Kluyveromyces lactis: one gene and its partner. The protein of the gene in region 2 purifies or fractionates together with the protein of the main gene of each other region. This does not show direct contact. Links are inferred from orthologs where the notes say so. Each region holds a gene or a part of one and is shown on either strand. Other genes may lie near its edges. The genes, in order: HRR25 and EDE1.

Evidence for each region.
Region 1: the proteins of EDE1 (region 2) and HRR25 purify together in Saccharomyces cerevisiae (affinity purification with mass spectrometry; 4 studies listed by BioGRID, with this or other methods). This does not show direct contact. The link is inferred for Kluyveromyces lactis from reciprocal best matches to the Saccharomyces cerevisiae genes EDE1 and HRR25.

The regions. Positions count from the first base shown.
Region 1 is NC_006040.1:264,042-267,847, forward strand, and holds HRR25 (serine/threonine protein kinase HRR25), read left to right. Parts: upstream 1-1,719; coding exon 1,720-3,237; downstream 3,238-3,806. Other genes in the region: NPY1 (NAD(+) diphosphatase), read right to left, coding at 1-929. UniProt on the Saccharomyces cerevisiae protein: Protein kinase which phosphorylates serine and threonine residues. Can use casein as a substrate. Phosphorylates elongator complex member ELP1/IKI3 on 'Ser-1198' and 'Ser-1202' which promotes the tRNA modification function of the complex.
Region 2 is NC_006041.1:513,728-518,022, reverse strand, and holds the start of EDE1 (Ede1p), read right to left. Parts: upstream 2,943-4,295; coding exon 1-2,942. Other genes in the region: KLLA0_E05765g (uncharacterized protein), read left to right, coding at 3,225-3,671; RSM7 (mitochondrial 37S ribosomal protein uS7m), read right to left, coding at 3,744-4,295. UniProt on the Saccharomyces cerevisiae protein: Functions at the internalization step of the clathrin-mediated endocytosis (CME) as an early-acting scaffold protein. Requires clathrin adapter proteins, ENT1/2 and YAP1801/2, for normal spatiotemporal dynamics and viability.

The DNA of each region.
Region 1 (3,806 bases), on a different chromosome or scaffold from region 2:
AAATCGATCAAACCAAGGCAACCAATCATCAAGTTGCAGGGATACGGCCAAGGTTGCGTGAAAAGGATATCCACATCATTTAGTTCAACTTTAATACCAGTTTCTTCCCATATTTCACGCTGGCAAGCGTGCTCCACAGTTTCTGCAGGTTCCATGAAACCAGCGATGGTGGAATACATTACCGCGTTACCGTGCTTTCTTCTTGATCTTGCGAGACATATTTTTGAGAAACATCTGTCTACGATTGCAACAATGACCACTGGATCTGTTCTTGGGAAACACACATTTGAAACAGCTGCGTCCCTTACCGAGCATTTAACAGATTCGTCGTTATTTCCACATTGTAATTTGGTTCCACCATGGACAGGAAATACTTTCGATGCACATCCGGGACAAAACAAAAACTTTCTCAGCCAATCTAAGTACATGTTTGCATGAGAGAAGAGCGAAGCAACTTCATTGCTTAGGTTGAATGCTTGCATCCTCCCAAGTGGTTCGTATTGATCTAGTATGAACTTTGTCTCCGACTTTTGAACTAGAGTATCGGACGCTGGCCGCAAATCCATGGCAAACAATGGGGTACCGGTGTACTCCTTGTAAGAAAAACTGCTGTCACCATCCATCAACCCTAAAAACGTTATTGTGAACCCGGATTCAACTAACCATCCTCTCTCGGTATCCATGACAGATCTTATCTTGTTTAGTAAGCCTGGCCATTCCGAGTAGTTAGGACAACCTTGATGTCCTAACATTAATAAATTGGTACCAGACTTGTCACTAGTCTCAGTTGCGAATGCTGCCCCATTGATAAACGGTACAAACTGAGTACTTCCATGTTCGAACGCTTGCTTGATGAAAACCTCGTCGTCCCTTAGGAATGACACTCTATTGATAGTTTCCAATCCGAAAAAGGTTACACTTCTTTCCATATGTACTGCGCTATCAGGCTAACCACACTATACGGGTACTAAATTGATCGAACTCCAAGTACAACAACCTCTCCAGCGATCAAAACGACAATGCGACTAGGTTGTGCACTGAATATACACGTATAAATCCAACTGTTCCCGGTCATTATGTGGATGTGACTGCAAACCATGCTTTGGAAATTACCCTACCATATATCACGTGATCATAAGTTTCTACTATCCCCTTCGTAGAAAAAAGAAACACTATTATTTTTTGTACCAAAAATTGAAATTGAAATCAACTTAACCACAATTAATCACCATGTTTGATATTTCATTGGTGGAGTTAGAGCATTAGACGGAGAATTTAGTGGGCCATTTGGTGTCATAACACAGGTTAACTGATACGGAAACTCAGATATCAAAGTATAGTTTCAAAACGTCCATCTTTCCCCAACTATATACTTAGGAATTTGACCTTTTTTTTGGTCTCTGTTTTGGTTTATTTTTTTTTTTTTTTCATTTCAGAACTTCAGGTTTAGTTGCAGAATTTCCCTCTCAATTTTGTGAAGTTGAGAAGCAATAAAGCAACAAGCAACTGACATATCTCACTGTACGTTTGTTTCCAGTTGAGTTTGATTATAGGATAAAAATATCTTACTTGATATTTCTGGTATTTGAGCTTGTACATGAGAACGTGGATATAAAGACTTATTTTGAGGTTCTGCGGTATATATACTTTCATTTGATTAGAAATATTGAAGGTAAGACGTGAACAGGAGAAGACAGACATAAGGAACGAAAAAGAAAGATGGATTTAAGAGTTGGTAGAAAGTTCAGGATTGGGCGGAAGATTGGCTCTGGTTCCTTTGGGGACATTTATCATGGGACTAATTTGATTAGTGGTGAAGAAGTCGCTATTAAGTTGGAGCCGATTCGTACGAAGCATCCTCAATTAGACTATGAGTCTCGAGTTTATAAGTATTTGAGCGGCGGTATTGGAATACCATTCATCAGATGGTTTGGGAAGGAAGGTGAATACAATGCTATGGTGATCGATCTTTTGGGTCCGTCTTTGGAAGATTTATTTAACTATTGTCATAGGAAATTTTCTTTTAAGACCGTAATCATGCTTGCTCTGCAGATGATCTGTCGAATCCAATACATTCATGGCAGATCTTTCATTCATAGAGATATTAAACCGGACAATTTCTTGATGGGTGTCGGAAGACGTGGATCCACCGTGCATGTTATTGATTTTGGTTTATCCAAGAAGTATAGAGATTTTAGAAGTCATAACCATATCCCATACCGAGAAAATAAGAACCTTACTGGTACTGCACGTTATGCCAGTGTCAATACGCATCTTGGGATCGAACAAAGTAGACGTGACGATTTGGAGAGTTTGGGTTACGTGTTGATATATTTCTGCAAAGGGTCCTTACCATGGCAGGGGCTCAGAGCCACGACAAAAAGACAAAAATACGACCGTATCATGGAAAAGAAATTGTGCATCACCGTCGAACAACTATGTCAAGGTTTACCTATGGAATTTGTTGAATACATGAGATATTGTAGGAACCTCAGATTCGATGAAAGACCAGATTATATGTATTTGGCTCGTTTGTTCAAGGATTTGTTCATCAAGTTGGAATACCATAATGATCATTTGTTTGATTGGACCATGTTGCGTTACACAAAAGCCATGATCGACAAACAAGGAGGCGCCCAAGCATTGGAACAAAAAGATGAAAATGGTAATAAACAGGATTCATTTGATAAAGTGAAACAATTGGCTATGAAGAAATTTTCAACACATTTCCACTATTGGAAACCAGATGATACTTCTCATCCAACTGCTGAAGACATAAAACAACAGACTATCCTAAACACCCAAGTTATCTCCACGATCCCAGATGAAGTCATGAATGCTATCGACAGAAACATGGAACAGTTGAAGCACGAAGTGAACCAACAGGTGGCGTCTCAACCACAACAAGGACAACCACAAGGACAAACTCAGGGACAAGGACAAACTCAGGGACAAGGACAACCACAATCAGGTCAGCAACTAGATACACAGTTACCTCAACCTACCACGTTACTACAACAGCAAAGGGCACAAGTTCAAGGTCAACAAGAACAGATGTTACAACAGCAACAACAACAACAACAACAACAGCAGCAACAACAGCAGCAACAACAGCTTCTGCAACAGCAACTGCAAACACAACAACAAACGCATCCAAATGCAATGGCTATCACCAACCCACTACCAAACCCTAATAACACCACCAAAACTACCACTACCAATAATATCTGGCTTTAAACGCAAAAGACGAAAACAATGCGCAAACAGTTGCAAAATCTGTAGAGTAGAAAAAATCACACACGCTCATACATATATACAACTCATCATCAGTTAATCATGGGCTTCTAACCCACATTGGTTATAAATTATAACTCGGAAATCTGTTACCTAATTCACACTTATATTTCTTTCTTATATGTACTTGAATAGTGGAACATGGGGGAGAACACACACAGGGATTTTCTCACCAACATGAGCAACCATGAAAGTAAGCTGGTTACTGAATCGGCAGCTGACACAGGTTTACGGTACTCGCAGTTCACAGCTCATTGTTGCTGCTGCTGAAGTTTCCCTCCTCATCCTTGGCAAGGCCATTATCGCAATATACGAATTCCACTACTAAATATCGAAAAAGGGTTTCTGTTCCTCACATGAACAGTGAATTGTGAAAAACTAGACCAAAGGAAAACTAACAACAAAAGGAGAGTCAACTGTGGTGAGAAAAAGAGAGCAATCTAGGGCGCATTGAGTCTTGAAAAAGTGCAATATCCATATAAGACTATCAGTCCAAAGCTATAATTAAGGCA
Region 2 (4,295 bases):
TGTTGATCAATGTCTAGGACAGCGTTTTCCTTTGGCTCACTCTCGACTTCGTCTCTAACTGATTGAGGTGGATTGTTGGCTGTCGACGATGTGACAGATTCTGTTCTAGGGATGCCGTATTCGTTTAAACTTCCTTCGAAAGAATCTGCCATCGCTTCGGCAGCAACTTCATCATTACCCTGCTGGTCATGTAATTGCTGCTCGCTTAATTGATCATCTTCTAATTGTTGATTTTGTTCTTCGTCAGGTTCAGTTTGTGAGACAGGAGTTGGAACATCTTTGTCGAAAACACTTTCTGGTTTTTCCTCCTCCTCAGCTGGCTGGGCAGTCTGAATTTGCAGTCTTTTTTGAATCAATTCGTTTGTATACTCATCATCAGGGGTTTCTCCCATGGCTAACTTCATTTGATTCTCAGAGAATTTTTGGACTCTATCGGCATAGTCATACTGTTGCTTCTCAAACTCTGCATTTGCTGCTTCAAACTCCGACTTCCTTTTATTCAAATCATTAAATAGTTCTTGCAACCTCGATACTTGATCACGGTATAGTTGTTCCTGCTTTTCTATCTCTGCTGTTCTGGATTGAACTTCCAATTCACGTGCATGTACTTCTTCAGAAGTTGCAAGGTATTGCTTATGTTTGTTTTCCATCTCAGCGTGCTGAGCCTCAATAGTAGCTTTGTAGTCATCCAATTCTTTGTGCTTTGATAAGTAGATACCAAGGGTTTGTTCAAGACTTTGAATTTCTGTTTGAAGATTGTTGGCAGTCATCTCTGAAAGTTCTAACTGCTTGGCATGAATATCGACTCTGGATCTTTCAGCTTTAGCATTCTCTTGAACTTCAGCCAACTGTTGCTGTAACTGAGAGGACAAAGTGTTAAACTGGGCCAACCTCTCCTTTAACTGCCTTTCCTCTTCTTGAGCTTGTTGCAACTGTGTTTGCAAATCCTCGTTCTGAGTCTGCACAGCATGATAATTTGCCTCTGCAACAGAAGCTTGTTGACTTAACTCTTCGTTTTGTGCACGAAGAGCGTTCAATTGCGTCTGTATCTCCTCCGTTTGACGAACTTCTTCATTGTAAGACGCACGCAAACCAATGAGTTTAGTCTCGATCGATGCCTTCATGTTAGTTATACGAGTAAGTTCATTCTGAGCAGCTGTTTTCTCTTCATGAACTTTCGTAGCTTGTGTCGTTAATGAACTCACCTGAGTGGAGAGATTTGCAAGTTCAGTAGTGGCCTGAGAAAGCGATGCCGGTGGCACAATTTCACGATTGTTAGAAGTGACTTCCCTCGAAGGGACAGAAACACCTCCAAAGTTTGGAACACTTGGTAACGAAGAATTACGTGCAGTGGGTGGTGGAGGAGGAGCTGCAGAGCCTACGTGTGTAGGAGCAGTTTGCATATACTGCTGCTGCTGCTGCTGCTGCTGTTGTTGTTGTTGCTGGTCGTTACCACCTTCTTCAGGGATAATGGTTTGTCCAAATGTAGATGAAGGTCTAAATTTCCTAGCATTTGGTGCCAAATGTGTTGAAGGCTGAGCCGATGATTGTGGCTGGGAAGGAAGAGATGGAGGCGGAGGAGTGAATGATTCATTTAGACCAAGCAAGTCATCCAGAGCGCTATTACTGGTTTTCTGAGCTTGAACCGGAGCTGCAAAATTTTGGTAATTTTGACCAGCATCTCCGGTGCTTGCTACACTAATGCGCTGTTGTTGTTGTTGTTGTTGTTGTTGATGGTACAAACCTAAAGCTGGCGAATTTAATAATTGATCAGGAACAACATCTGGCAATTCGATCCCGGCATTCTTCTTCTGAATTAAAAACATTGCAATCGCAAATTCAACCTTAGTGAAAACTGGACTGTTATGAATATCAGCAAGATCCCACACAGTTGCTAAGACATCCTGTCCCAATTTCGATGTCAAAAAAAATGGAACTAAGACGTTAGAACCTAAGGAACCCTTTTTCTCTTTATCCAAAGAATCGAAAATAGCGTCAAACTGCTGCTTTTTTTCAAGAGTCAAGGTCCAATCTGTTGCAGCATTAGAAAAAGTACCGGATGGAAGTCTGGACAAAGAAGGTTTTCTGATAATTCCCGGATTTCTGACAACAGATCCACTGCCAGATGTGAAAGAGAAGCCTGTGTTATTGGCGCTCAGTGGAGTCAGAGTAGAAGATGCTGTACTATTCAAAGAATTCCACAAATAATTTGGCAAAGTAGAAGGTAAGTTTTGAACGGCTGCGTTTTGCTGTAGTGTTAGCTGAATCAAATGCATCGCCATAACAAACTCCACTTTATCCAAGCTTCCGCTATTGCTCCTGTCACACAACCCCCAAATAGTACCTAGAGTTTGAGTTGGTAACTTTGCTTTAAGGAAGATTTCTCTTGCTTTATTACCAGCTAGGAAACCGCTTTCTTCCGTTGATCTGTCAAATAATTGGGCAAACTTGGCATAATCATGAGGAGTGCATACAGGAATGACGGAATAAGTTGGCGACGAACCCGTATTAGTTCTGCTCACCGATCTATTGATAACAGAGGGGACTCTCTGGACAGAATGAGACTGATTTGATGGTGGTGGGATAGATGGTTGTGTAGAAGCAGAGTTGAACTTTTGACTTTGTCCGAATGAAGGGAGCTTCGAAGCAGGAGTCTGATACAATTCTAAAGTAACTTGCGCACCTGGATTTTCCTGTAAGTGCGCAACCATTCTTAGAGCGGCGTTAAATTGATCAACAGTTAAGAAGCCCGCGTTTTCGGTATCGCAAATGGTCCATATTTGCGACAACTGTTGCGGAGTTAACCCTGATTGACTAAACAAAGGTCTTAAAGCTTCTCCAGTCACAATTCCCAATTGTTCTCTATCTAACCGAGAAAAGTGCTGGGAAAATGCTTGCTTTTCCTCACTAGTGAGGGGTACACGGAACGCAATACCTGACATGGTTCCCAGAGGCGTGGTGGATGTGTATCTGTTGCAGTTTATCGGCTATATTTCACGAAAGGGGTTTCGACCATTTGATCCAATTTGTCGTTATTCAATTATCTCAAAAAGATGATGAAACTATATAATCGTGCAAGATGACTTTCGGATCGCATAAAGAAGTGAAGCATTGATGTAGGATTAAGGTTTCCAATGCGATGAGAGAGTTGAGTTTATCACTTCATTTAGAAATTGTGTAGAGTGTATGCAACTCTTATTGAGAGTTTTTATGAAAATTGATAAATGATAAGATATAAATACGCAGTAACATTTTTCTCGAGTGTATGTTTTGTTGTCTTCCTCGGATTAACTACTGATGCCAGGTTAAAGCTAATAACATCAACTCATGATAAGCTCGCCCATTGCATAGTATTTTGCATTGAAACCGTTCTGTTTACCATGATGTTTGAATGTGATACCGTACAGTTGCCGGCATTCATCCCCAAAAGACTACGATCAAGGAATTTGGCTGCGTACGAACCTTTTTCCATGAACAAATATCTATTGGCATTTATTGTATGCTGCGTATGTGCCAGTACGAGCAGTGAATTTGCACAACAGTTCCTCTCACGAGGAAAAAGGTCCTTTGATGTAAACGATATTTTGGCCAATTTTTCGGGAAGTCTGCTGGGCCTAGGAATTGCATATAAGATAGAGCAACAAATTCAGCATAACTATGAAAATCGATAACGTTCATTTATATTTCACGTATACATATGTACAGGTTTATTCAAGTAAATACAGTGGAGGTTGGAACTTTGATCATTTTAGGTTAATGTAAGCTCTGTGTGCAATAGCAGTCTTATGAATAGAGTCTCTCTTTTCGAAACCTGAACTATTACCGTTGAAGACAGATACCAATTCTTCACCAAGTCTTACTGAGAAATCGCTCGATGATCTCTTCACAGAACTTTCCACAATCCATTTCCAAGCTAATCTAAACCTTTGTCTTTGATTCAATGGAACTGGAACCACAGTGGCCTTTGCGACACCAGTCTTGAAGGTCTTGATAACCATAAGAGGCGCCAACACATCCAAGGATTCTTTCAAAACTTTTACCGGGTCTTTCCTTGTTTGACAGAACACAATATATAACGCTCTTGAAAGAATCTTCTCAGCTCTTTCTCTTTTCCCGTGTCTCATAATCATATTCGTTACATGCTGTAAAACTGGATCCTGTTTTTTTGGAATGGGAACTTGCTTCAACGTTTCCCATTCATTTATTTGCTCTTGACTTGGCTCAAAGCTGGGCTTGTTCAATTCCATAGCCTTCTCCAAGATATTAATTCTAGATTGGTTACCTGGTGCAAGGGA